Linked DNA regions of Styela clava. The protein of the gene in region 4 purifies or fractionates together with the protein of the main gene of each other region. This does not show direct contact. Links are inferred from orthologs where the notes say so. Each region holds a gene or a part of one and is shown on either strand. Other genes may lie near its edges. The genes, in order: cytoplasmic 60S subunit biogenesis factor ZNF622-like, structural maintenance of chromosomes protein 4-like, structural maintenance of chromosomes protein 2-like and E3 ubiquitin-protein ligase HECTD1-like.

What was found.
Region 1: the proteins of E3 ubiquitin-protein ligase HECTD1-like (region 4) and cytoplasmic 60S subunit biogenesis factor ZNF622-like purify together in Homo sapiens (affinity purification with mass spectrometry; 4 studies listed by BioGRID, with this or other methods). This does not show direct contact. The link is inferred for Styela clava from reciprocal best matches to the Homo sapiens genes HECTD1 and ZNF622.
Region 2: the proteins of E3 ubiquitin-protein ligase HECTD1-like (region 4) and structural maintenance of chromosomes protein 4-like purify together in Homo sapiens (affinity purification with western blotting; 3 studies listed by BioGRID, with this or other methods). This does not show direct contact. The link is inferred for Styela clava from reciprocal best matches to the Homo sapiens genes HECTD1 and SMC4.
Region 3: the proteins of E3 ubiquitin-protein ligase HECTD1-like (region 4) and structural maintenance of chromosomes protein 2-like purify together in Homo sapiens (affinity purification with mass spectrometry; 3 studies listed by BioGRID, with this or other methods). This does not show direct contact. The link is inferred for Styela clava from reciprocal best matches to the Homo sapiens genes HECTD1 and SMC2.

The regions. Positions count from the first base shown.
Region 1 is NC_135263.1:18,717,888-18,723,893, reverse strand, and holds cytoplasmic 60S subunit biogenesis factor ZNF622-like, read left to right. Parts: upstream 1-3,870; 5' UTR 3,871-3,927; coding exon 3,928-5,289; 3' UTR 5,290-5,481; downstream 5,482-6,006. UniProt on the Homo sapiens protein: Pre-60S-associated cytoplasmic factor involved in the cytoplasmic maturation of the 60S subunit.
Region 2 is NC_135251.1:14,605,256-14,612,912, forward strand, and holds the start of structural maintenance of chromosomes protein 4-like, read left to right. Parts: upstream 1-4,641; 5' UTR 4,642-4,678; coding exon 4,679-7,657. UniProt on the Homo sapiens protein: Central component of the condensin complex, a complex required for conversion of interphase chromatin into mitotic-like condense chromosomes.
Region 3 is NC_135264.1:15,679,550-15,687,305, reverse strand, and holds the start of structural maintenance of chromosomes protein 2-like, read left to right. Parts: upstream 1-4,753; 5' UTR 4,754-4,851; coding exon 4,852-5,019; intron 5,020-5,909; coding exon 5,910-6,197; intron 6,198-6,931; coding exon 6,932-7,051; intron 7,052-7,541; coding exon 7,542-7,660; intron 7,661-7,756. Other genes in the region: transcription initiation factor TFIID subunit 11-like, read left to right, coding at 180-282, 882-980, 1,370-1,526, 2,048-2,203. UniProt on the Homo sapiens protein: Central component of the condensin complex, a complex required for conversion of interphase chromatin into mitotic-like condense chromosomes.
Region 4 is NC_135255.1:18,151,253-18,159,087, forward strand, and holds the start of E3 ubiquitin-protein ligase HECTD1-like, read right to left. Parts: upstream 3,015-7,835; 5' UTR 2,642-3,014; coding exon 2,502-2,641; intron 1-2,501. UniProt on the Homo sapiens protein: E3 ubiquitin-protein ligase which accepts ubiquitin from an E2 ubiquitin-conjugating enzyme in the form of a thioester and then directly transfers the ubiquitin to targeted substrates.

The DNA.
Region 1 (6,006 bases), on a different chromosome or scaffold from region 4:
CTGATTTTTCATTTATTTCTACAGCTGTTTCAAGTCAAGTAAACTGTCTGAGTGCCATGATGATGATCAATTTCATCAGCTCTATTGGAAGAGCAAATTTGTGAGTTTGTCACTATTTAAATGCCATATTATTTGTATGTGAACTGTCCTAAATTTATGTAGTATCAGCTGTTAAATGAAAATTATTTTTAATTTGTGTGTATATTCTGTATTATTCGTATAGTGTGAGGATACTTTTATTCTAGTCATTTCTTTTTACATGCAGGCAAAACTAGTATCACATGATTTTAGAGTAGAGCAAAGTTGTTCGACATGCAATCACAATCGAAGACAAAAGAGTTAATATCTGAAAACTAAGAATACTCTACTGTTTTACTTTTCCAAATTCATATAATTAAATATACATTGGATTTTACGTAATTCAAAACTATCATTTCAGAATACAAAAAATCTGTACAAATTCGAATACAAATCATTCGGTTTTAGTCATTGCCTAGGTCAAATTTGCTTCTTTAATATCTAGCGCACTTCATCAATATACTATCTTTAACCCTGTATTTTTATTTTTATTGTTCAGGTCATGAAGACAAACAACTGTTATGGATAGAATTATAGTAAAAGTCAAGGTTGCAGCAGTGCTTTATTCTACGCCTCTGTGTCCAGCAAATATGTGGAACCCGGTTAACTTAAGCTTAACAAACAAATAATTCTTGCAATAATTCTAAAACATTTAGAGGAAACATAGTTATGTCAATTTTTCGTCACTTGGCGAGTCTTCCGCAGAAGAAATAAATAAAACCTTCAAATAGCAACGAAAGCAACAACTATGATTGCACCTGTGTCTGTGTGCATTACGTTGACACATTCCTGTCTCAAAGCTGTAGATCCAGGATAAAATTTAGCACCTCTTCCGAATTGATTCTATGCTTTTCCATTTCTTGAATGTCAGTACATTTTAGCAGTCATTTGAACAAATGAATATTAGTTATTTTTGCAATACAAATTTTCAAAATAATAAAATGTTAAATATGTAGAAGCCTGTGGCCCAGAACTTGCCAGGGATAGGTTATCAGCTGAAGTGTGTTCATTTCGTCTGTTTTCACTCTAAGTAGGATGTGGGTTCTGTAATTTAAGTCTGTTTGTTGTTACGCTGAGGTTTTAGGAGTAAAATATTAGATTCAGTTGGTGTTGTAGACCAGGGTCGTCCAACTCGTGGCCCGCGAGCAATATGTAGAAGCATTTCTAGGTGTTTGCAAAAATAGCCTGTCAAGACAGACCATAACTCATCGTGTTGAAGAGCTTGGGAATTCTAATGCGGGAATTTTAAATGCAGAAGCGGAAAATGTTTTTATCGTATTCCTTGGCGCTTGACGATGCGCTGACATTAAGTTTACTGCTCAGTTAGTGACTTGCTATCTTCTTGCGGGTAGTTAATGATGGTATAAAATCACCGTGGAGACTGCAGCCATTGCCCCTGTTAGGGGTACGACTAGAGCTGTGATAAAAATGATCAAGCATCTTGTCTTTGGCTAAACTTTTGGGAATAACCACTGATGGCGCCCGTCAATGGTTGGAAAACAAGTTTTATTGTTCTAATAATTGGGAAAGTTTGATGTGAGGGTATTTTTTTTATTTTTAACCTGTAGTAGTGTAGCAAAACTAGATCATAACTACCATGTCAAGTGGCCCGCGCAATTATTTTTGAATCACGTGTCCCTTCGACCAAAAAGGTTGGATTTATGATAAATTGTTATTATTTTGACATTTCGGGTAATGCGCGTCAGCTCTTCGTAGGTCTGCCGCCCAGCTTGTTTTGCTTTGGCAAAATCAACGAAATACATCAAAAACCGACTTTGCAAAGACAGCAAATTACAACAAAATCGGGTTCGCGTTGTCATCGCCATGGGAATACGAGGTCAAAGAGCAACATGCCACGACGTTTTGATGAAATGCCTCGTGGCGTCGGACTTAAACCAGGATTAGTTAAGTAACCGCTAAACTGGGTTTTTGATCTCCGTTTAACTTTCGAAGTTAAACCGAGTTTAACTAATCCGAGATTAGTCTTAATCCAGGTTTAAGTTAAGTGAGGTTTTTGATCTCCACCCTTAGTGTTGTCCGTTCTGGAGTGAGTTTGAGAGCCAGGTCGATTACGAAAACAGATACCGGTATGGTAACGATAGTTGATTGTTTAAATACAGAAATAGCATATCAAATAGAGTTCAGTAAACAATCAAGCACAACTAATGCTATCGTACAGCACACTATACAAATCGAGTGACATTGTCCCGTTTCAGAGAAACACATTTTACAGATAATCAGACACCCCTCCTTTGGGAGACGTATGAGCATTGTTGTCCCTATATATTGGTTATAATACAGTATAATGAAGTTACGCAAAATACTACAAAAAGCGCAATCTAATAACGTCATCATCGAATTCCTTGGGAAAAAAAATCCGATTTACTGAAGGAAAAAAATTTTTACCGTAGCATTCAGGAGTTTTTGGCAAAAAACCGCAATTTTAGTCATGTGACGGCCGCGATTATTTTAGATTGTTATTGAGACAAGCATGGCACGATATGAAGCATCTGATGTGATTCCAGAAGCCCCTCGTTTGTGAGACACATAGAGTGTTTGTTTTATTGAGCTAAATGGAGGGAAATTCTTGGAATTCGGATAATGCTGGCCCCTAGTCTGTAGAGTACCAAAGCCCGGGGATGTGGCTCATCATGCTAAGCGTTAGGAATACGCTTGCCATCGCGTCTCTGATTACTCTGTGTGGTGTAATGTAGCGGTTCCCAATGGATTCGCCGTAACGAGTTGCCAAATGCGCCGCAAAAACTAACAGAATTGTGTTAAACATACTGAAAATAGAGTATATTGAATATTTTACATATTGTATTTATTATAAATGTTTTATTATTCCCTAATTTAAATGCTGTGTATATGAATCAACAAATTCATTTCACCTTTCTATGTCGTTTACTTTTCATTACGTAGTGTTTGCCTCTAATGTTACGTCCAATGAAGATAGAAGCACTTGATGCAATTTCGCGAACTGCAGACCTACAGTTTATCTGCTGAATCGTATTTAGCGAACTTGAGTAATTTTTTCAGCATTTCAAAGTAAAACCAGGCAGAGATGGAGGAAGAAGAGTTGACCTTTGCCTTTATTCTTTATACCTACTTGTTTTCTGATAGCAAAACCAAAAGGATTGCTCTAAACTTGGGATAATGGTAATGAACTTGAAAGTCAAAAAGCTAGGCAGACGGTTAACAAAAATAACGCTCGCGGAACACAGTTTGGGAACCGCTGGCATAGAGGATTGAAGCAATGTTTCATTGTATCAATCAATTTCTGAATTTCAGCTCACAGTAAATTATGTTATTGTGATCAAAATTGTACTATATAAGCCTCACCTCCATAGGGTGGTACGCACTGGTCGGTTGCTGCTGTACTGGTATCAAATACGGCTTTGTCCACCATCAAGTTCATGCATCTGAAACAAATAACTGCCTAACTATTCCCATACCTGACATGGACTGGTAACTGGACGAGACGCTGTTGTTCGCCCTGTGATTAAGCCCTCTCATTCCTGTATTCAGCTTTTATTTGATCTTGGTCAGTATTCCTCCTTGTCATCTGAATTTCTCTTTGAAGTTGCAACATTTATTGTCCAAAAAAAGGACCAAAATATTTTTCTGGTTTATGGAATTTTCAATTATTCTGTCAGTTTTTTCTTGAATGAACTTTTCATTGCAACCACTAATTTTTGAAATATGATGCTGGCTGTGAATAGTCACATGCTAAGCTAAGACAACATTAGTTTTCCCATTATTATCAATTCCTAATCATTTATCTTGTGTAATTCATACTCCATTATTTACAGGCAGATTTATAGTAAATAAATATTGAAAACATATAATATGTCTGCTTATACATGCATAAGTTGTCATGTGGCATTTTCTGACCCTGATCAACAAAGAGGTCATTATAAAACTGATTGGCATCGCTATAATTTGAAGCGAAAGGTTGTTGGAATGCCACCAGTTTCTGCATCAACCTTCCAGGAAAAAGTGAGGGAGCGCCAGGTTGTCACTGCGGACAAGGACACTGAAGGCATATCTGGCTTTTGGTGCAAACTATGTCAAAAACGTTTCAATTCACATAATTCATTTGAAAATCATAAGCAATCAAAAAAACACAGAGAATATGAAAATGCTCACTTGCAGCAAGTAAAACAAAATTTATCCAAGGAAGACTTGAAAAATGAAAAAGATGAATCTGGTCTAAACGAAAGTCAATCTATGAAAAAAGCTGTTGCTGATGCGAAAGCAGATTTAGATAAACCTAAAATATTACGGGCAGATGAGAAAGTAAAGACCACAAAAGAATTTAAATCTGGTGACAATCCTCGTATGAGATGGTTCAAAAAACAAGCAAAAGCCCTAAAAGAAGCAGAACATGAGGATGAATGGGAAGATGTAGATTCTGATGAAGAGATGAATGACGAAGAAGCTGATGAAGAGGAAATTATCATGAAAGATGAAGATGCAGATATAGAATCACTGTCTTCTGACATACTCACTGGTTTGAAACAGAGACAGATTTCTTCTCAGGAATGTTTATTTTGTCTTAAATCATCAAAAGACATTGAGTGTAATGTTCTTCACATGTCAAAGCAGCATGGATTTTTTATTCCAGATATTACATTTTTAACCGACTTGGAGGGATTATTGAACTATCTTGGTGAAAAGGTTGGAATGGGTAACATATGTTTGTGGTGTAATGAGAAGGGAAAAGCATTTTATTCCATATCTTCTGTATTGAAACACATGAAAGATAAGGGACATTGCAATATGCTTGTTACAGGGGATGCTGCATTGGAATATGCAGATTTCTATGAATTTGGTGATGATGAGGAAGAGAATGACGTAGAAATGGATTCTGAAGGCGAGGAAGATGATGATAATGTATCTGCAGATATAGATATACAGGATTTAGAACTGGTTCTACCATCTGGGTCATCTATTGGTCATAGAAGTTTAATGAGATACTACAAACAGAACTTTCCACCTGTTGAAAGGCATACATCTAAAAAGCAAAAGCGATTAGCTAGGCTTATTGCGCAGTACAAAGCAATCGGGTGGCACAGTTCTTCTGCATCTGATATTTCTCGAGCTCAAAAGGACATGGCCTACCTCAGGACAATGAAATCCAAGTTCAGATTGAAATTATCAATGAAAAACAACAAAACCCAAATGAAACATTTCAGAATTCAACTTTAAATCTGTACAATTTGCCAAATTGTGCAAAATCAGGGGCTATAATTTGCAATTCCAATCAATGAATTTATTGTCATCCTGTAGTTAACCTTTGTTTGGCGATGAATATTCAATTTAGTCAAACTAACTTTTAAATCAGGACCATTCTAATAAAAGTATGAACACTTTAAGACAATACACTCCTCAGCGAATTGACTGCCAATTGCACTTGTTTACTATCACAGGGTGTTCCAGGTACCGTACCACGTTGGCAGTTATGCTTCCTCCAACAATCATCCATTATGGTGATGCAAATAATATGGCAGTTTGATGCATAGGGTCCCCATAAATATGGAGCAAATAACCGTGCAAACCTTGATTCAAATCGAGCCTTAGTAATATTCAACTTATTGGGAAAACTTGCACTTTTGTTCGCCATATTAGAATCTATTGAAGTGAGCAAGTAAATGATAAATGTCTCTGTTAAAAATAAATTGAACAAATTGCGTCAATATTAAATGAAAAATATTTATGACTGCCATACCAAAACATTTGAATGTATGGCGCGGGACACCGGGACGTATTAAAAACTACTGACACCTGATGTGGTCTGCCATATCATTGCGTCCTCTGCTGAATGTTTTTTGATCAGTTGTAGCTAATTCTTACTCCCATTCAGTTGAGTAAAATCTGGACTGGTTTGAAATGGAATTTCGCAAGAAAAATATATTTGTAACCCAA
Region 2 (7,657 bases), on a different chromosome or scaffold from region 4:
GTATTGTATGATTTTATAATTCGTATAGGCAATATGACTTTTTTAAATGGTAATTAAAACCATGATATTCAAAATTAAAAAAAAAGATTAATAATCTTGATCGAATTTGGAAATTGAAAAAAAAAATATTTGTCTTCAATTATAAGCCTGCGGATGCGTCGACAAAATAAAAGCATCATAATTCTAAAATACCACGGCAATCCGCAGACATAAAAATATGTGATAAACTGCCCGATTATATTTTGTTTTGATCCGTATTTTTGCCATTTTGCGAATTCGACAAATCTGAGCCGTACTTGCAACACTGACTCCGCTCAATCGCAATGCTAGCACTCAGATTATTTTTAAGGTAAAACCGTTCAAAAAATCTGTAAATCTGCTGTAAAACCTAACAGAGTAAAATTTATTTCAGCACAATAAAAATTGATTGAATATACTTTAGGTTTAGATCAATTATCTTATATAGCATCACAACTCGGGAAAAGTAGCGTTTCCAACCTCGTATAATGTTAACACAAAAATTTTCGACGAAAATTTCAATTAATGAATAAAAAGTTAAAGTTGGGGGGGTGTTTCAAAATTTAGAGGGTGGTAAATAATTTGCTATTAGAGATAAAACTAGGCTATTTGTATTCTTAACAAAATGGTATGTATTTAAGAAACGATGTACATTGTTGATTGACCAAGATGATTGACGCGAGCCAAAATCCACAGAAGAATAAAAATGTAGGGCCAGAAAAGGGGAGCGAGGAAAAGTGCGGGACGACACGGCTGGGGTTCAGGGCGCGCTCAAGCGGCCTGAGAAAATTTTGAGAAATAGGCACCAAAATAGGCTCTAAGCTTGATTTTAGATACACCTAGCATCGCAGTTTGTTATGTAATGAAATCAATAATTAGAAAATTTAGCTGATAGAATTCCCGGGGAATAGATAACAAGCACGGCTTTCAACCGTAAATATATACTACTACGTTTCAACAAGTAATTTGCAACTGATAGTGACTAAGGAAGTTACTTGCTCATCTGGCATTGTATGAATGGCTACTTACGTTTTGTTACACATTTCTAATTTTTTGGAACATGTTTGTTTGACTTTTGTATGAATTAAATTTTGAAATAAGCTCGTCAACTGATCATAATGTTGTATTCCTTCAGAACTGAAATATTTTGTTGGTAAGAAGACAAATCGCTGAAGCTTGATTCTTTTCAATAAAGAAATAAAAACGCTGTCATTCATCTAAAAAACGTCATTTTCATTGCCTAGTTTTCGTTTTGTGACATCTTTAAGCTTTCTTAATATACGGCTGATATCTAAAATACTGCAGTGTGTAATCCTAATACCCATACGTATACATAAGATACCGGAATAATTCAATTGTTACGAAATAAACGTGCTTAAACTGTGATAATGATGTAACAATAGACGGTATCTAAAACTCAAAAGGTACCACATGAAGGGTTAAACTATTTCACTCAAGTTCGGCGGGCCATTTTAAATCGTCGCGCGGGCTGTAATTGGCCCGCAGACTGCGGTTTAGAACCCCTCAGTGTGAAATCGCACCTCAAAATTAGGGGGGGGGTGTTTGAAATTTTAGGGGGGTATAGGGGGGGTGTAGGGAAATCACTGAACCCCCCATGGGCTGCGCCACTGATCACGGGTATCCACGCTTTCTGGTGTTTACATCAAAAGCATTTAAGTTACTCCAATGACATTAAACTTTAATGTTAATAGTTAATGTTATTGGTTACCCATACAATAGCGAAAAAAATAATAATCACGGATTTTAAATATTCTGGGGTATATGAAATAGAAAGATTCGTAGACTCATTGCTATCGATTATTACTGAGTTATTACTATCGATTTGCCATTTGTATGTTACTTACCTTTTTTCATCGATGGCCTCATTCTATTACGGCTTCCTCAACCATCAAGTCCATGCTTCGGAAAACAAATAACTGGCTAACCATATTTACGGGATAACTAACAAGAGAGCTACGCACAAATATATGGACACGTCAGACCAGAGCGAATCAGTCCTTACCGGTACCTTTGACGCTACCGGTACCCTCAAAAAAGTTCCTAATTTCCAGTAGCAAGAATTTTGCAGAATCAAAACGTACAGCCAGTCATGACACTGACTAAAATCCGTGTTCCCATGGATAAAAAATAATACAGCAAAATATTAGACGAAATATCAAATTTCATAGAATTCACGCAAAATTTTGAAATAAATAAAAGCAATAGCCTTCTAGCGAAAAAATTAATCTTTAACCACTGAAAATTTCAAAGCAATTGGTCCAGTATTCGAAGAGAAAGGCGACTTTTTAAAAACGTGTCAAAGAACAAGAACAACAACAACAACATAATATTGAAACGATCGTTATGTCCACTACGTGTCCAATAATCCCATACCCGACCTGGACTGGTAACTGGACGGTAACTGGCCGTGGTTCGCCATATGATTAAGCCGTCTTATCGGCTTTCCCCTCCCTCGGGATAAATATGTAAATCCTATCCTATCCTTGATTGATCCGGGTAAGTTTATATTCATGCATTTTTGTACCCGTGAAATGGCCCATTCATGACGAATTTTATGGGTCACGCCATCTCGTGGTCTCGCGATTCCCGCGCTTTCTATTATATTTGATGTATTATTTTGATATTCATATAGTCCATGAGTGACAGGTATACGAATAGTTTATAGATATTTTTCATTGTACTTAAAAACAAAAACGTTTCGAAAAGTAATTACGGTATATACGGTAACTTACATACTATCGGTTTTCGTATAACTTGTCCAGTTTTGACATAATGCCATTTCAGTACCGGTACTTGCATTACTGCAGTACCGATACCGGTACCGGTACGGTACCGTAGACCAGGGGTGTGCAACCTTTTTTATTGGCGGGCCAAATACAAGTAACTGGGTGAAGCCGCGGGCCGCACCTTTATTTAATTTAGGCTTTCTGGTAGTTTCAAGCACAAAAATTGCCTATAGCATATTTGCTATTGATCTTACGGCATTATTAAGGGTTCTTGCAGAAATAGTAGATTTAAAACGCATAAACTTCTGAAGAAACTGATATTTAAATTTTTTGTCACACCGACTTCAAACGAATGCAGTGAGAAACACGTTTTTGTAATATAAATCGTGTATTTTGCAACAGAATTTTGCTAGCTTGTTTTGCTAATATGACTGGTATGGGCTTTGCGACGAAAAAGAATAAATACTCGTTTTGCGGGTACACCATTCGAATTCGTTATTTCTCCGCGGGCCGCACAACTTCTTCTTGCGGGCCGCATTTGGCCCGCGGGCCGCAGTTTGCACACCCCTGCCGTAGACTACCGTATCAGCAGATCTGAGCATTCTGCTGTCTCGCTGTTCTGGCTTCTGTTGACAAGACATAAAATTTGGTAGAAAGGGAATGCAGTAAGTTTTTAAAATGTTGGCCAAATGTAATAATAATGACACTCATGTTGACTGATAGGCCTATGTCTGGGCGCATGCTTGACCAAAGCTCATTTTTACGTACCTTAACAGTTTACAAGTTTTGTCACTGACAGACTGCAGGACTGATATTTATAATAAACAAACCTGCAAACGGCAGAACGGGCCAACTCTTGCGACAGCCTGAACTCAGATGCCTAGACTAATTAATGTTTCACTGCAGTAGACTAGCATGTGGGAAATTTTAGTATATATTAAGAAGTAATATTCCTCACTGTATTGTAGCTGGACATCAGAATGATCATATTTTTAGTGTTAATTTATATGAATTTCCGAATTTTGAGCGAACCAGAATATTCTGCGTAAGCGTTAATACCTCCACTTTATTTTTAGTCGATATCCCCAATTAGAATTGCATGATTTCCCCTATAATCTCTATAGCGCCAATATGGTCAAAAAATTTGACGCATCCGCCAACACAAACTATGATGAACTCCATCGGTAATTATATTTATGCCACTCCCAGAGAATTTGTTGTCAAAGGGTACTTTATCCAGTAGGACACAGTTCTCTTATTTCAAGATGTCCCGACATTTGGTTCAATGAAAAAACATTCTTATTTGTCTCTGAAACGAGAGTGTCTGAAGGCAGATGCGTCAGATCATTCCATGCTTGTCTCGATTATAATCCATGGTAAATTAATCACGGCCGTCATGTGACCAACATGGCGTTTTCATCTGAAAACTCTCTGAATGCTATGGTAAAATTTTCTTTTCATTTGATAAATCGGATGATTTTTTTCAAGAAATCCAATCGTGATGTTTTTAGATTGCACTTCTTTTTTAGGTTATTGCGCAGTACTAGTTTGCCAATTTATACCTCCTTTTTACGAGACAGTCTGGGTTGTCATGGCAGACACTCCTCATTTTGGAGACAAATAGGGTGTTTGTTTTATTGAACCAAGTCCTCAAACTTGCTACGAGTGCGTATTTTTGCATGTATGGAAGCACCTGAATCTTTCTGCTTCGGCATTGTTATCCCAATGTCTGAATGTATTCCGAACTGGGTGAGGTGGGTGACATGGGATTAGGACCTGATATGTTTAATCTGTAATACCAACACAGTTAAAGTTGATGCCTCAATCGCTAGGCCATCGCACTGCTTCGTATTTATATTTGATACTAATATTGTGGTATTATTTTCTGGTCTTTTTAAATAAAGTATATTAAAATGACTAAAACTGCCACGGAAAATACTGAAGATAATAAGATGGATACTCCTGATCCTGACACAGAGCCACCAATGGAGTTAGATGATGAAAGAAGTGAAGAAGTAGCGGAACTTGATCTTCCAGAGGGAATTACAATCCCACCTAAACCATTGGCTGTTGGTGTCGGTGCTGCAGGCGAACCACGGCTTATGATAACTCATATTGTGAATCATAATTTTAAATCATATGCTGGAGTTCAAGTACTTGGACCATTTCACAAAAGCTTTTCTGGAATTGTTGGACCAAACGGAAGTGGGAAGTCCAATGTTATTGATTCTATGCTTTTCGTTTTTGGGTATCGTTCCAACAAATTGAGGTCAAAAAAAGTATCAGTGATGATCCACAACAGTGAAAATCATAAAAATGCAACAAGTTGTACTGTTGAAGTTCATTTTCAATCAATTATTGATACAAGTGAAGATGAATTTGAAGTTGTGCCCAACAGTCAGTTTTGTGTCTCTCGTACTGCTTCTTCGGATAATTCATCTTACTATTGCATTGATGGAAAAAGAGTTCATTTTAAGGAAGTAGCCAAATTCCTTCGTTCAAGTGGAATTGATCTGGATCACAATAGGTTTTTAATTCTGCAAGGAGAAGTTGAACAAATTGCCATGATGAAACCAAAAGCACAAACAGCACATGATGAAGGAATGCTGGAATTTTTAGAAGATATCATTGGTTCTTCTCGGTTCAAGGAGGCAATTGAAAAACTGGCAAAATTGGTAGAAGAGTTGAGTGAAGAACGCGGCGAAAGACTCGCAAGAGTCAAACATGTCGAAAAAGAGAAAGATGAGCTCGAACCTTTGAGAGATGAAGCACTTGACTTCTTAAAAGCACAGAATAGAATGGCTGAATTGCAGAACAGACTTGTTCAAAATTATATTAGTAATATTAGCAGAGAAGAGAAAGAATATGCTGTACAGCGAGATGCTCTGAAAGAAAAAATGACTGGAATGGAAGAAGCGCTCAAGATGATTACAGAGGAAAGAAGAGAGAAAGTGAAAACAGTCAAAAAGATTTCAAAGATGTTGGAAAAGCAAGAGTCGTTGTGTCAGCAAAAAAAAGATAAAATGGGTGAATTAGAACAGACTAACATCAAAGTCTTTGAAGATCGCAAACACGCAAAAGCAAAGGCAAAAGATTTAGCCAAAAAAGTTGAAAAAGAAAAACGCAAATTCAAGGAACTCCAAGAAGTGCCAAGCGCTCATGAACGGGATTTAGAAACATTGACAAAAGCACTCGAGGGTTTTGCAGTAAGGAAAAAAGAAGCAGATGAAAATCTTACTGAAGTCACGAGAAGTTTGAAAGATGAAACATCTGATCTTCAGATGAAGATTGAAGAAAAGGAGAAACCCCTCATGGAATTGATGAAAGTTGTAAATGATACAAAACAGGTAAAAGATATGGCGGCAGCAGAACTTGAAATTTATACAAGCAACCATGAAAATGCCGTAGTTGCTCTTGAAAAGGTCACTTCAAGAATTCAGGAAGTAACTAGGATGTTGGAAAGCAGCAGAGAAGAAAGAGAGAATCTCAATCATTCTCTACCTGAGCTTGACACAAAATTAAAAGAGAAGACAAAACATTTACAAAATCTTAAAACCCAGGAACAAGATTTGTCAACCAAACTACAAGCTGCCAGAGGACATCTTGCAGATGCAGAGCATTCTTCAAAATCTGCCAAATCTCAAGGGAAAGTAACAGATTTTTTGATGCAGCTAAAAACCTCGGGAAAATTGCCTGGGATATATGGAAGACTTGGAAATTTGGGAGCTATTGATGAAAAATATGATGTTGCAATATCATCTTGTTGTCCCGCACTAGAAAATATTCTCGTTGATAATATTGAGACTGCACAGAAATGTGTTCAAGCCCTCAAGGTGAATAATGTTGGTCAAGCAACCTTCATTGCATTGGATAAAATGGATCGCCATAGGTCACAAGTTCAAAACAAACCAAGGTCTGCACTTCCTCGCTTGGTCGATTTGATACGTGTTAGTGACGAAAAGTTTAAAGTTGCATTTTACCACGCCTTACGTGATACCTTAGTTGCTAGCGATCTTTCTGAAGCCACCAAGGTAGCCTATGGTAAAGATCGCAGATGGAGAGTAGTCACTATAAAAGGAGAGATCATTGATACTTCCGGTACTATGACTGGTGGCGGTAACAGAGTAGTGAAAGGTCGTATGGGATCAAAGTGCGTTGCACAAGAAGCTGTTCCACTCGAGCAACTGCGAAAAATGCAAAGTGAAGCTGAAGCAATGGAGACAAAATTACGCTCTCTTAGGGGTGAGATTGCACTTGCTGAAGAAGCAGTTGAACAACTCCAAAGAAAATTGCGTAATTCAAAGTGTAGAACGGAGGAGCTCGAACAAGAGGCTTCTGGATTAAATCTTCAACTTAAACAGTTGGAACAACAAAAACCATCGTGTGAAAAAGAAGTTAAGAAAACGAAACCCGATCCAAATAAACAGGAAGAGATGAAAAACAAGTTGAATAAAGTTACGAAAGAATACAATTCTGCTGTAGCAAAATCTAAAAAAGTTGAAGCAGAAAAAAACAGTTACCATGAACAAATTGATGAAATTAACAGCAGGAAACTGAAACCAGCACAAGAGGCTCTTGATAAAATCATCAGTGAAATGAATGCTTCTAAAAAGAAAATCACAAAACTAAAAGTTGGTATTAATACAGCTGAACGTAACATTCAGAAAAGCGAAAAATCGATTGAAGCACTAGAATTGGAGATCACAGAAAATGAAGAAAATTTGAAAAAATTAGAAGAACAATGGACGCAACTCGAAGAAGAAGCTTCAGAACTTTTAAAAGAAACCGAAGAAGTTCAAAAAGAAAAACAAGAAGTGAGAGTTCAATTACAAGAATGTCAAATGGCGCTTCAAGAAATTGAAGAACGTGAGAACAAGACGAAGGAAGGTAAT
Region 3 (7,756 bases), on a different chromosome or scaffold from region 4:
AGTTTGAGAACCTCTGTTATTTATCACAAGTGATGAACAGGGACTTTTTTTAGTAAAGGAATGCTAGAAGCGGTTTTGCTTCTAACATTGTAGTCCCCTTCAACTCCTCTGTGGCCCCTTGCATAGGCCCCAGGCCCCCGGTTGGGAGCCGCTGCTTTAGGAGGTATCTTTATTTTCAGGTTCTTCAAAATTAAAAAGAAAGTTTGGTTCGCCATCAGGACCTCAAGAAAGCCCAAGCAAAGGAGACAAAAATACATCAATTTCATCGAAAGAATCACCAAAGTATGTCTAAAGAAGCTAGTTAAAAGAAATTTACTATCAAAATTTTTCAATTTCCCAGTAAAACATCTAGATGTGAATTTTTTCCCCTCTAAGTGTGGCTGAGCGGAATAATCTCATCTGAATTAATCCAATGCCGGTGCTGCCGCATGCCACTTTGTAATTTCTCAGGTTAGATGTCTAGACTAGACCTGATTTTTTTCCACTGAAAAGTGACTGAGCAGAATAATCCCATCTATTTAATCTAATACCGCTGCTGCCATATTTCACTTTCTAATTTCCCGGGTTAGATATCTAGACTTTATCTGAAATTTCCCATTGAAGCGTGAATGTGTGGAATATTCTCATCTAATTAAGCTAGTGCCGGTGCTGCCATATTTTATTTTCTAATTTCTCAGGCTAGATATCTGGACTAAACCCGAGTTTTTATCATTGAAGCGTGAATGAGCGGAATAATTTCATCTAATTGGGCTAATGCCGGTGCTGCTCTATTCCACTTCTCCAATTTCCAATTGGAGCGTGACTGGGCAGAAAAATCTCATGTTATTAATCCAATATCAGTTATATCATATTTTACTTTCAAATTTTTTATTTATTTTCAGAAAAGATCCTACGTCAGCACAACAGGCAACTGCTGATGAAATATTATCAGCGAAACGAAAAAAAGAAAAATCAGGAAGAGTTGAAAGAATGAAAATGCAGTAAGTTGGAAATTTAAATTTAGTTATATTTTACAGCAGCTCTGATGTTCTCATGAATTTTGTTTTGTAATGTTCTTCATGAATTCTTTATGAATTTTATAATGTTTTGAATTTTGAACCAACTCCATGGAAACATGCCAAACTACGATCATGCCATTTCTCCTGTATATGCTTTGTATTATATTTTAACGAACTGATTGGATTATTTGGTTGCATTAAGATGGTCTTTTGTAACAGTTGTATTTACATTAGGTTAAATGTGTTATGCGTTCACAAACAGTGAATTTATATAGATAATAGATGACACTCAAGTTGGTGATCTGTAAAGAATCTGCTCATCAGACTTCCCAACATGCTCAAATCTTTTCTTTAAATTTGTTTATTTTTAGGCGACTTGTGACAGCTTTCTCTGAAGACCAATTAAACAGATATGAAATGTACAGACGTTCATCGTTTCCAAAAGCTTCAATAAAACGATTAATGCAATCCATCGCTGGATGCACAGTATCACAAAATGTGGTGATAGGAGTTGCTGGAGTGTCCAAAGTAAGCTCGTCTTTATCTTTGTATTGGAATAGTTCAGGGCATAGATTCTCAAAGTGCGGAAAAACCTTGGTGCTCCGCAAGCCATTCATTTACTTATTAAAATACTGACTTGGCTAATTTTGTAACTGTCCAAAGAATAACGGCATTAATAAAATTTGACAACAGTAGCGTTGAAATGTGGAAATAAGGTGGTAATTTAAATATGACATTATCTATAAGTTCCAATAGAATAGATAATAGTTTCTAAAAAATTCATGGTGGGGCACTGTAAATAAATATTCAGGCCCTTGACAGGCTCCATAACACCAACAGTTCAAGAAACCCAAGTTTAGGATTAAATCTTTCACAAAAAATCTCATGGATTCGAATTTCTTAACAAATTATTTGAGAAAATTACTTTGAAGTCCAATATTTCTCTTGCTCTCATTACTGGAAATAATTGGCCAACTGTCAAGTCAGTTTTCCATTCACTAGAATCTGATACAATTTTTCTGATTTTGTTGTTTCCTATATTTTATCAGGTTTATGTCGGTGAAATCATGGAGATAGCACTTGATGTTATGGAGCAACAAGGGGAAACGCCTCCAGTGAAACCAAAACATATTCGTGAAGCAATCAGAAAATTAAAAGCCAGAAGAACTTTCCCGTTTTCTAAACTGAAGACTAACCCATTATGATGCCTGTATTTGAATTGTTTTGCCGAAGGCCGAATCCTACCAAGCCTGTCCTGAATGGCTTTTCTGGTTAAGAGATGGGTACATTGCTGTCAATTTCCTATCAGAATCATGAAAAAATGGACTTTTGTGATGCTTCATGACATAATCTTTCAGAATCAGAACTGTTTATTTTGGAATTATAGGGTGTCCATGAGGTCTTAATTTTTTTTAATTGCAAAGGAAATTTATCAATGCACTATATTGTTTTGGCCCTCACAGATGTATCAAATGTAGGACACCCTGTATATTGGGAATATTGTTAAGAAATATTACACCGTGTTTCTCAATTTTGTAGTCGCTGTGGTATTACTGTTGTTCTTTAGTTTTCGTATTATTACTGCAAATACAATACTTATCATAAACTACTGAAGGTTGGACAGATAATATAGTTTTATGCATAGGGAAGGATAAATAAAAAGTTCCAAAATAGGCCAAAAGCAGATTTAAAAAAAAAGGAACGAATGATTCTAACTGATGTGTGACATGATTTTCTTAAGTGAAGTTGAACAAATAATTCCATACCTGAAAGCTAACCGGACGATATGGAAGTCATCATAGCAGCTTTTCTATACTGGATTAATATTTATATCCTATCTAGAACACCCTGTGTGGGGTGGTGTATACATCATGATCTTTCTATTTAATAATCCGTACTTTTACTGCAACTTATCAATGTTCCAATAAAGATTTGTTCAAGTAGGAGTTGTGCAGACTTATGGAATTTATTTGAGAATTCGGGAGGTCCAAAAGTTCCATAATGCCGTTTGCTCTGAAAGTTAAAAACCTTCCTACCGGCTCTAGATTGGCAAGCAATGCTATCGAAAACAGAGAGTTGGACGCTGAGATATAAAGAAAACGTCACATGGAAAACTAGTTTAGAACTTTTCCACGCTCATTACAGGGCATTTGTATCAAAACTAAATATCAGTAATATGTGATATTATATAAGTTTAATAAGTGGTGGTTCCTGGTCTTACAAGCTAATCAACAGGTTGCCAAGTCAATATTGGAAAACAAATTGAAAACGACGTATTTTTCTCCAAAACAAATGAACCCAAAATCACTCCAAAGCTACGTTCAGGTATGAACAACGACTAACATGAAGTAACAATCAATTTTTTCTGTAATCACCACATAAGAATCGCAACCACAATTTTTTTTTTGTTCTTTTTTGAATTCTAGTTTGTAGTAAGTATTGCCATGATCTTCTTTTAGCCAGTGTCTTACACTTTAAAATTGATATAAAAGGTATTGTCCGATTTTACATCGTGCCTTTATTTTATTGTGTTCTTTTGGTGGACGGGCACGTACATGTACGTTTTTAACTTTTTTATTAAGTTATGCCCGTCCTCCAGGTCCTTGGCATTTTGTGAAGTAGGCTACAACACGATGATCGCGTTGCAATATATTTGTTGCACTTTACTTTGGATTTTGTTCGCTTTCCCGATTCTATAATCAGTTTTATTTACCTATTTTGTTTTTATCAATTATTTTATTGTCTTTTATGCTGATTATGGATTTAAAATATACTTATAATTCTTGTAGTTTCACATTCAAACGCATTCCTGTGCTGATTCAGATCCTAATATACTTTTGGATTTATATCCCACTGATGTACTGTAACAAATTTATTCCCTAAAATCAATATCACTGAATGTTGTTTTTCTAAAATTGTAAAAGTTTTGATTCATATTTGTTAGAAATTTTGAATAAAATTGAAAATAGTCCAGCAATGACGTCATGACGTAATACTATGCAAGAAACACAAACTAGCTTCTTATTTTATCATAAATACCAATAAAAATTCTGATTGAAAACGTTTAAAAAAATTTGACTGCGTTAGTAAGTTAGTAACGAATTTGTTGAGTGTACAGTACGGTACCTGATTATCATCAATACCGGTATGTCTGAATGTGGCCCAAAGATTTAATCTATACCGGTATTTATTGAGTGTATCGCATTGCCATCATCTATAAAAACTATATGTGGCTCAGGTCTGTGGTTCACAAACATTACTGCATTAATATCTCACTCAGGTTGTTCGCACGGCGGTGTGGCTCAACGGGCTAAGCGTTAGGAATACGCTCGCCACCGCACCTTAATCACTCTGCGTGGGTTCGCAGGTTCGAATCCCATGCAGGGATGGTTATGTGCGAGAGGATTGCTGGATTGCTGTCCTCGCCGCCGTTGGGTGGTTCACGTAACCGCTGGTTGGTTACGGCTTCCTCCCCCACCAAGTCCATGCTTCCGAAAACAAACAATATATCTAATCCCATACCAGACTTGGAATGGTAACCGGACGAGAGGCCGTGGTTCGCCATATGGATAAGCCGTCTTATCGGCTTTCTTCTCCCCCGGGATAAATATGTAAATCCTATCCTATCCTGCGTCGTAAATATATACTAGCCTACTACGGATGCGTCAATACAAAAAAAATATCATTTAAAAAATCAAAATTTCGCGGTGTAAATTGAACGCATACGATAAAAGGCGGCAAAAAGTCGCCGAGTTTATTACAATTTTCGGAATCCTGGGACCTGGGTTTTGCTTTTTTGGTGGCTGATTATCACAGAATTAGGCTGTATTCGGAGCCGTATTTTCAGTACAAAATGTACATAAAGTCTGTAACCATAGACGGATTTAAATCCTACGCCCAAAGAACAGAAATTAGTGGATTTGACTATTTGTTCAACGCGATTACTGGACTGAACGGCAGTGGAAAGTCTAATATTTTGGATGCGATTTGTTTTCTTCTGGGAATATCAAATTTATCTCAGGTATGTTATGCTTTATTGCTGTTTTGTTTATATTTAAAGGGAATTGTTGGTATAATTAGATTCAATTTGTAGGGGCATGATAATTTCCAATTACAGACATTCCGACTAGGCTAATTGCAGGATTGTCAGATTGCATTTATTTAACTGACCTGACAAGACTGTTTACTCCAGTACTTACTGTCAAATCAATATATTTTGAGTGTAACAAATTCAAACGCCCAATGGCAGAATGGACTTTATGCTGATTATGGAGTCAGGGAGTCGAAATAAACTCATCTTATCTTGGTTGGATTAGTTTTTTATCACAAAACATTCGCAATTTGATTTTGCTGTTTTCTTTTTTAACTCTGTGTGGTTAATGGAAAAAGTGTATATGTCAGTATGTGTGGGGGTGGGGCTCAGGCATTCAGATTAATGGACTAAAGGTTATGTCTGATTTCTGTGTATTTTTCCATTTTTTTTATCATTTTTTATATTTTGGTACGGCACACTTTACAGATCGAGAGACATTGTCTCGTTGCAGAGAACCCCATTTTGTAGATAAACGAACACCCCTCCTCTGGAGGATGCCTGGACATTATTGTCCCTCAATATCGGTAAAAATACAGTAAAATGAAGTTGCACAAAAAACTACATAGAAGCGCAATCTAAAAATGTCATCATTGAATTCCTCACTATTTACTGAAAAAAAAAAAAAATTTACCGTGGCATTCGAGAGTTTTTAGCAAAAAACGGCAATTTTGGTCACGTGATGGCCGTGATTAATTTAGATTATTATTGAGCCAAGCATGGTGATTTTTTTTTCTGTGTAGTTTTCTGGTAAATTTGAAAACACCTATGAAAACTTTTACACCACTGCCATTAAAACATTTATAAATATTTTGTTTCAGGTTCGAGCCTCAAATCTTCAAGATCTTGTTTACAAAAATGGACAAGCCGGAATCAACAAAGCTACAGTATCAATCACGTTTGATAATTCTGTTAAAGAGCAAAGCCCGCTTGGAATGGAAGCTCATAACGAAATCACTATTACTCGTCAAATTGTTATCGGCGGTCGAAATAAATATTTGATCAATGGAGTAAACGCTCAAAATTCGAGAGTTTCTGATCTGTTTCGTTCAGTTGGATTGAACGTCAATAATCCTCATTTCTTGATTATGCAAGGCAGAGTGACTAAGGTTAGTTGTTTCTTTTTGTTTCTCATTTTCCAAACGAATCTTTAATGATTCTGAATTATTAGTTAATTAACGAATTTGTGTGTTCTCTTGGGTTATCACAATTGCTATTACAACTATTTGTGTTTAGTCTGCGACACTCAACTCCAAATTGAAAAAAAATTAATATCAGGCTGCAGCTAAGAATTCTGTAATTTCAATACCATAAATCTTTAGCCTACATTAGTTCATTTGCCACCAATAGACGTCTGTAGAATTTGTAATTTCTCTGGGAAGTTCTCAGTTCTGCCATACAATCCAGACTTCACAATCGTAAAACTTATCAACTGATTTCATTCATTCCACATTGGTGGGAAAAGTTTTCATGCAAGGAGGGCCTCATTAAGAAAATCATTTTTGCGTAGGGTCACCAGTGATGTCACAGTTATGTCACTATTTCCATTTGCTCTGATTGAATGGTGGCTGACATAATCGACTCGAAGACGAAAAAAAAAAAAATTAACATTATTTTAACAATTCGTAGCTTATTTAGTTATTTTAAATGAAGTTATAAAATGTCCTAATTTTGTGTGTAGTTGAAAAAAATTTTCACACTTTTCTCCAAAAATGCTTCGGCGAGTCACGGTTTGTCTATCTCTGTCGATTTCTGACTGCATGGAGTTTGAAAATACAGGATCCAGTCTTGTAACCATTGTCCCCTTTCTATTAAAACTGAATATTTTATCTCAATATTCCAGGTAATGAACATGAAACCTCCAGAAATTCTCTCTATGATTGAAGAAGCGACCGGAACGAGTATGTACGAGGCAAAGAAAGAATCAGCTCAGAAAATGATTGAAAAGAAGGAAAGTAAATTGGTGAGGAAAATGTGACAATTCCTATTTTTTTTATGCAAGGATTGTTCACGTCTTAACTCTAAACAAAGTCCTGTACAAGCAATCGGCGGTTATATAAACAAAGATTTGATTCGTTATCTATTTTTTTGGCTGGTTGACTGGTGTCGATTTGAATATTGCATGTTTGCATTTGTATGCTGGTCTTATGGCTCTTCAATCTCTGGTGAGCAGTGTTAGTTAGATAATTCATACGGTACTCACTGTTGATGTCAGTAGTTTCAAAACTCTAGAATTCCAACTTTTTGATTTGGATATTAGAACCTCGGGTGTCGCTGCTCTATAACCAGCTTTGGTTCTCCGCGACTCCCCTTCCCCAGTTAAATTTTAAATTATCGTTTTCTCGTAATTTGTGCCCGTGTGATATTTTTTTTTACTGGTTGGAAAAAATAAATTTGACTTGACCTGTTTGCTTGTGACTTTTTTTCAATATTCATCCCCTATTTCTTGGCAGAATCAAATCAATCAAGTTTTGGAAGAAGAAATTATGCCGACTTTGCAAAAATTAAGAGACGATCGAACTTCCTATTTAGAATTTCAAAAGGTTCAAAGAGAAGCCGATAGATTGACAAGGTGGGTCATTGTTTTTCTTGGTCAGGTATTCTCAAACTTGCCTTCCTAGGGGCACGCTTCGGAAGTGTGTGAACCAATATGGCTGTAACTAATTCT
Region 4 (7,835 bases):
AACGCAATAGATAACAAAAATGTTTAACCTGAGTGATTCAGGAGTCTTGCTGCACACTAACACAAATATATTTCTGTAACGTTTCGTCTGACCAAGGTCAGACTTCTCCAGACATACATAGTTCAACTATAACAAGAAAAGCATATGAATCCGGCGGCGCAAGAGCATAGAAGCAGGATAAGTAGTTAGTCTCGCAGAAACCAATTAAGTGTTTTCATGCCTCTAGACAAGGCAGCATATATACATAAAAGCTACCTTCTATTCAGCATACCATAATACATGCTTTGGTTATAAATTTTTAATTTTCAACCGGCAATGTCTATCCAAATTCATTGATCGATTTGTATGTGTATATCAAATATATTGTTATGTAGGCATTATTGGAAGATTTCTTTTAGATAAATACAACCAAAGCCTATACATACCAAAGTACATACCAAACATATATTGATATCAATTTACAATCAATACAATAGCTTCAACCGAAGACAACTATTGTTTTAAGGATGATAAAACTTGATATCGTTAATTAAACTGTAGGAAAGCCAGTCAGACACAAGGAACACCTGTACTTATATTGGTCAACTTAAAACGAAGCATATTTGGGTTATTATGAACCGCAACATTAAAATGATCATCATTAGAAAACCAGTAAGCTGTGACTACTCCTCTGGGAAGCGCAAAAGGTTTAATTGGTTTAAAATAAACCTATAAATCATCCTAAGTAACGATTTTTATTAATCCCCAAATAAAACTTACAAAATTTATGATTATTTTAAATTTATTTTTGATCTTTAATTGATATATCCTAATTTAGTGACAAATACAAATATTGACCCACAATTTCTAAATTTCAACACTTATATAAGATTAAGCATCAATAGAAAAAACGAGAATATCGGTCGGAGACCGAAGACTTATCGATAAAAGTTGGGGATCCCCCATTCATTCACTCAGACTCTATAGTACTCACCAATTAATTAATAACTCGCAAGTTATATGACATAATTCATCCAAAATCAATAGGCTTTTGGTACGAGCTATGGTGAATGCACATGCAAAATTTGGGGCAGATTAAACCTCGCTTTCGTGAGATATCGCATGCATCTAACAGACAGACAGACAAACAGACAAATACCCATCAACATACGTACCAATCTTATTAAGATCGATAAGTAATGACATTAAATAATATTGATATTGTATAATATGTGCCATTTGTCCCACATCGATATTATTAAGTACAGAGTGACCCAAAAAAATTAAACCCCTACATTGTGGTTTGAATTAATGAGAAATTTCCAAGTGCAGTTTTAAGTATTCTGTGGCGTCTGAAGCTTCTTCAAAACCATGGCGGGATTTTCAAACCATGGCCATTATTTACCGATACTTACTTTTTAGCTGCCACAAACCAATGACGAGATGCCGTTACCATGGCAGCAAGTTGAGAACCAATGGCGGGTTAAATTTTGCTGCCATAAGCACGGCATGTCGACTATAATGGCAGGGCTTTCTTGACGATGACATAATTGGGTAAGTTAGAACATTTTTCTTATACAGTTTTGATGGATTTGGGGTTAGGTTTCAGGTTTAAGTAGATATAATTCCGCATGATAAACTAATATCTGGTACATGACTTTGTGAATAAACCGCCATATAGCAATAGCGCCATATCCCATGGCAAGGGCTGCCATCGGTTCGTTCGTGGCAGGATCTGCCATGAAGTGGTAAGAATTGCGACTCGGAATTTTATTTGGATTGAATTCTTCGGCCATCTCTATTTTTTTTAAATCAGCTGAAGGCGACAGAACTGAGAAATCATATCGCAGTGTGCAGCATGTCAATAAAAATTAGTAATGGATGAAACTAATGAACAAAAAACCCAATGCATAAACACATCACTTTTTAAATAAAAGAGCTATTTTTTTATTAGGAAATTCGGCATTAAAATCAAAAAATATTCATTCTAGTTCTCAGAATAGCCTAAGAATATATCTTTGACAACAAGGACAAGATTTTTTTTATGTCTATGTGTTTAGTGAATGACACACAGCAACTACAAAAATATTTGTCGTGCGCATCCATTATATACAGAATCAGAAATAGACTTATATGGCATCCTGTGACTCAACCGACGTAACATTAGTATGACATGCTGAGTTGGGTAATCACATTGGTGACGTTATTGCTATCTTGTGACATACAATATGACACCTTATGTTAAAACTTATGTACAATGCATGGGAAATTGAAAAAACTACCGGCATATAACGGGCTTCCAAGAAACAGAGAAAATAAGAAAATCATATATTTTTGATTTTCAAACTCCTGCATTTTTTTATTAAAATACTTTGGCAAATATCGTTTCAAACTATGATTAAAAACCGGCCCTAAGGGCAACTAAGATAAACCATAAACCACCAGCAGTTACGTGATACGAGCAATATGTTCAAATTTCACTCTGGACAACCATGTTTGAAAGTAAAAATAATCCAACTTACATTTCAAAGCATCTGTCCACATTATCAGACATAAGCAGAAGCATGCATAGTTGTTCTAATGCAATTAGTTGCATATCACGTTCCTCTCCTAATCCCATCTGAAGCCATTCCAGCAAAGTATCTGGATCAACATCTGCCATGGTCGAAGGGTTGACGATTTCAAATCAGAATTTATTTAAAAATTCTATCTATGTAATTCCCAATAACCAAGTTTACTTCTGCGTTTTTGATTGAGATAATCCAATAAATGCAAGAATCAATCCGATAGTTTACAATAACTTATTAGATAAGCCTATGACTTATATAGGCTTGTTACAGCACCAGTTTCCAATAATGTGATATCCTGCCTTGTATATGAAGTTTGATATGGTCCAATGTCCTTATGCACTGTGTGTGCACAATCTCTTGCGTCGAGTCACAAAGACATTTTCACTGATGGTAATGAGGACACTGAATGTGAACCTCGGTGTTGCTCTGTATTGATTTAACAGTTTGCAGACAATGATAGTAAAATAAACTGTGTATTAAAGTTGAAGAATAATAGTTATTACTGTTTGTATTGCAGTTTAAGTATTTGTAATAAGATCGAAATTAATGTTTTCTTGCTTCTAAGAAAAGACACTCAATAATCAAAAAAAATATCAATCCAATTCCAAACCACCCTACAGCAGCGAGGAGTCCAGCAATCTTCTCGCACATGATCATCTCCGAATGGGATTTGAACCTGCAAACCCATGAAGGGAAATCAGAGATGCAGTGGCGAGCGTATTCCTAACGCTTAGCACGATGCGCCACACTGGATAGGATTTACATATTTATCCCGGGGGAGAGGAAAGCCGATAAGACGGCTTATTCATATGGCGAACCACGGCCTCTCGTCCGGTTACCATTCCAAGTCGGGTATGGGATTAGTTTTACTGTATTATTTGTTTTCGGAAGCATGGACTTGGTGGTGGACCAGACTGGATTCCATGGCAGGTGCACGCCCGAGGGCGCTAGCGCTCCGCAAAAATGCACGCGAGCGAAATCAATTTTGCACGCCGAAAATTTGCAATTGCTCACCAATGTAAATCGGTTTAAATGGTTTTAAAATCAATAATCCAGTAATATAAAGATGCCAAAATATTATAACTCCACAATTGTCGACAAATACCAGCTTGCAAGATTTGGTCTGATCGAAATATTGCGAAGCAAAAAGACCATGGACCTTTCCCCAACCTTTGACCCGCGAAAAATTCCTCTCATTGTTACGTCCTTTTTTGCATCTTGCTGATTGGCCAATGTCACGAAGTAAACAAGGAAGTCGATGCTCGGGGAAAGGTCCATATCGTGTTGAATGATAGGAGATAGGAATCCCGTGAGAATAGTTATGGACGAAAAGATCGCCTCCGCACCAATGGCCAAGTACGGCTCTGATTCAGCGTATTTTTCATACAATAATTTTACACGAATGTACTGAACAGTACCGGTATCTAAAGTTGCTCAAACACTCCCAAAATTAGTGACAAAGTATGAAAATAATGTTTGGGGTCAAAGGTCAAACGTCCATTTTGCTCTAATTTGACGTATTTTTTATCCATTAATTCTACGTAAAAACACTACCAAAATTAATGACAAAGTATGTCCATTTTGCTCTGGTTCAACGTATTTTTTATCCAATAATTTTACGCGGATGTACTGAACAGTACCGGTATCCAAAGTCGCACAAACACTCTCAAAATTAGCGACAAACTGTAGAAATAATGTTTGGGGTCAAAGGTCAAACGTCCATTTTTTCTCTGTTTCAACGTATTTTTTATCCGATACCGGTAATTTTACGCGGATGTATTGAGAGGTATCTGATGTCAAAGTCAGTTGCACGCGAGTGCAGTTGTTTTGCACGTCGTGAGCTATAATTGCACGCCAGGAATTCTTATTTGCACGCGGGAATTTCTGATTGCACGCCCGATTTCTCGTTCAAAAAGGCCATGAAATCCAGACTGGGTGGTGGAGGAAGCCGTAACCGACCAGCGGTTACGTGAACCACCCAACGACGGCGAGGAGTCCAGCAATCCTCTCGCACATAACCATCCCTGCATGGGATTAGAACCTGCGAACCCACGCAGAGTAATTAGAGGTGCGGTGGCGAGCGTATTCCTAACGCTTAGCCCGTTGAGCCACACCGCCGCGCCACTGCCGAGCTCATACTTATACAGTTCTGCAGTTATACCACTGTCTCACTGATTTCATTATCAGTTTTATTAATTTGTTTTTATCATTCATTTTATTGCTTGTTATGATGATTATGAAGTCGAGATAAACTTATACCTGTATACAAGAATACGGTACCGTACCGTCATGACCGTACTGTCTGGCTGTAGGATACCGTACAGTCTGTGAGTCTGGCGATGTCAGGGTGTGGAGAGAAAACAAACATAATGTTCTCCTTTAACCAGATCCCGCCTTCAAAACAGTGATATTTTTCATAAATCTCAACTGAACCATACCCCCCTAAAGACTCAACTCCTTATAACCGCAACACAAACGCGTGGCACAGAGGAAAACAAAGACAAACAATGACAAAGAAGCGCAACGAGAAAACAACCGCGGTCGCCAGCTGACGCAGAATGGCGAAATAGAATACAAACAGCAACGTGACGAAAAAAGCTGTGACGTCATATTTGTGATAGCTAATCACGAAAAGATTTTGTGCATTAGCGGAGATTTGCGCTAATGATTTGCTTTCTGCGGGACTAACTACTTATCGCTTTTCAATGCTTTTGCGACGGTGGATCCGTATGCATAAAATGCAATGATGCTGTATCAAAAGTAAATATAACTATCCGAAGTGATCTTGCTGCACATAACACAAATATATTGCTGTAACGTTACAAAAACATACGGTATTCTTGTTAGTGTGCAGCAAGACTCTTGAATCATTTAGTGGAGATTAATATTGAATTACATACTTATATCGCGAAATAGGTGTTTGTTTTGTTATCATATAAACAACGAAAATGGATATTGAATCTGGACAAGATGGTAATTACTCATTGGGATAATCATTTCGGTTGGCATCGACATTCGTCTACACTTGAATAAACAGTTTTTGTGAAGACAAATGAATTCACAATTCAACTGATCGGCATAGTTACTTCTGTGATATTAATGTCACGATTTTGTTTGTCTATTTTATAAATATACATTCATCACGAACGAATTTTTGGGCAAATTATACAAAGACTTCGACAGACTATTAAAACTCTGAGCGTTGAGTAAAGGTTTCGCGATCGATCGATTAAATTAGTATCCCATTGTTTTGGGTACTGCATAAAATGCTAAAATATTTTTTAAACAGTTATCAAAGCAAACAGCTTATCTTGTTGTTGAATATTCATATATATTGAACTGCGGCAAAAAACTTAACATTTACAATTTTTCCGTACCGCGAGTGGGCAGCAAAAAAACGACATGAAATATAAATAGCGTTGCCAGATTTCTGGAAACAAATATGAGCAAATTACCATTTTTTTCGAATTCTGATATGAGAACATACCGAAAATAATATTTCTTTGCTATTAAAATAATTTACTAACTTGTTTATCTATCGAATCACATATATAGCCAAGCGTGGATCACGATGGCGACGAAATAAGAGCTGAAGAAGTAAGATATCGGAATTCAAAAACAGGTTCCCAAATGCGACCCGCGCGAAGTTGTACCGCTTATAATGCATGAAACAAAAATTTCTCGGTACTCCCAGAGTAAGAAAAATTGGTACACATACTTCGGGAGTACCAATTTCTCTGCGCAGGTATTTATGTCGTAACAACGGCTGTTATACTTATAAATTTATGTTACCCGTCTATTGCTTTACGTAAGAATAGAGGTAGACACTTCTCGCTACAATTTTGTAGGCTGCAGTTTAGGTATCTTCTGAACCGAGGTTGGCGAACATGAGTGATTGTTTTAGTATTTCAAAGGAAAATCGCGCTGTGATGATGAAGAAGAGTTGACAGATCTTTTGTACAAAGGCCCCGTCTCTAGTGCAAAAATGTGAGATTTGAGAATAACACCCCGCCACATTTTTAAACAAAAATTGGTAATTATCCAGTTAGCGTTAGTATTGTGTTAAAAATTTGAATTTCCGGCGCAATCTGCATTCCTGACCCTATCTGAATAATACCTAATTTTTTATTTTGAGCTTTTGCGGGGATTAGCTTTGTACGAAAGATCCGAGTTGATCCCGAGCGTTTATTACTTAGGCCTGTATATTTACAAACTTTAAAAAGCATAAAGTACACTTTAAGTCTTTAACGATTACAAAATTGAGTTTTTAAAAGTCAGCAATTTTTCATTTAAGTACGGCGTGGGTTTTTTCCCCTGATAATTCGGGGCCGAATGAGCAAAGATTTTGGGAATTGCTGCCATACCCGACATGAACTGGTAACCGGACTAAAGATCGTGGTTAGCCGTGTGATTAGGCTGTCTACTCGACCTCCCTTTTCCCAGAATAAATATGAAAATCTTATCCAAACATAAAATTCCGCGGGGTGAGTCTGCGTGTTCGTACAATTCTCCGTAGGAAATGCTGCGGCGGAAAATTTCGCCGCATGAGAAATCGCTGCAAGAGCATTTTGCTGTAAAGCAAGTATTTGTAATAATAAAAACCGTTGGGTTTATAGGTTTAGGGTATGCTCTTAAATAACTAATCTTTTTAAATGAAAAGGTCAAAAACATAACTGTTTTTATCACAAATACTTGTTTTACAGAAAAATGTATTTGCGACGATTTTGCATGCCGCGAATTTCCCCATGCGCCGAATTTTCTTGCGGCCAAATGTTCTGCGGCGAGATTTCCTACGACGAAATTTCTTGCTGCTAATTTTCCTAGAACCATAAGTCTGTAAACCCGCCAATATCCGACACAATCCACTAATTTACGTACTACATCGGTAGATACATCCGAGGTTTGTCCAACGACATTTTTGATGATTTTAGTTGCTGTGTGGAACGTTCTGTTAATCAGTAATTTATTTCTTCACCACGCTGAAAATACCAACTATACACTTGTGGCTATAAGTAAGTATATTTGGTAATGACTTGAATTAAAAAAAACGTTGAAAAGTTTGAGGTTGTAGTAAAACGTCATGGTACCAGAATCGTGACGTCATAGTACCCGTTTCAACTGGCGAGTAATCAGTCAGTAATTAGTAATTTATTTTTTCATCATGCTGAAAATACAAACTATACATGCTCAAATTAAAGAAAATATAATAAAAATCGCATAACAGGGTGAAAGGAGACGCCGAAAACCAAAACTAGTTATCGAGCGGCGGCGCCCTTGGGGAAAATC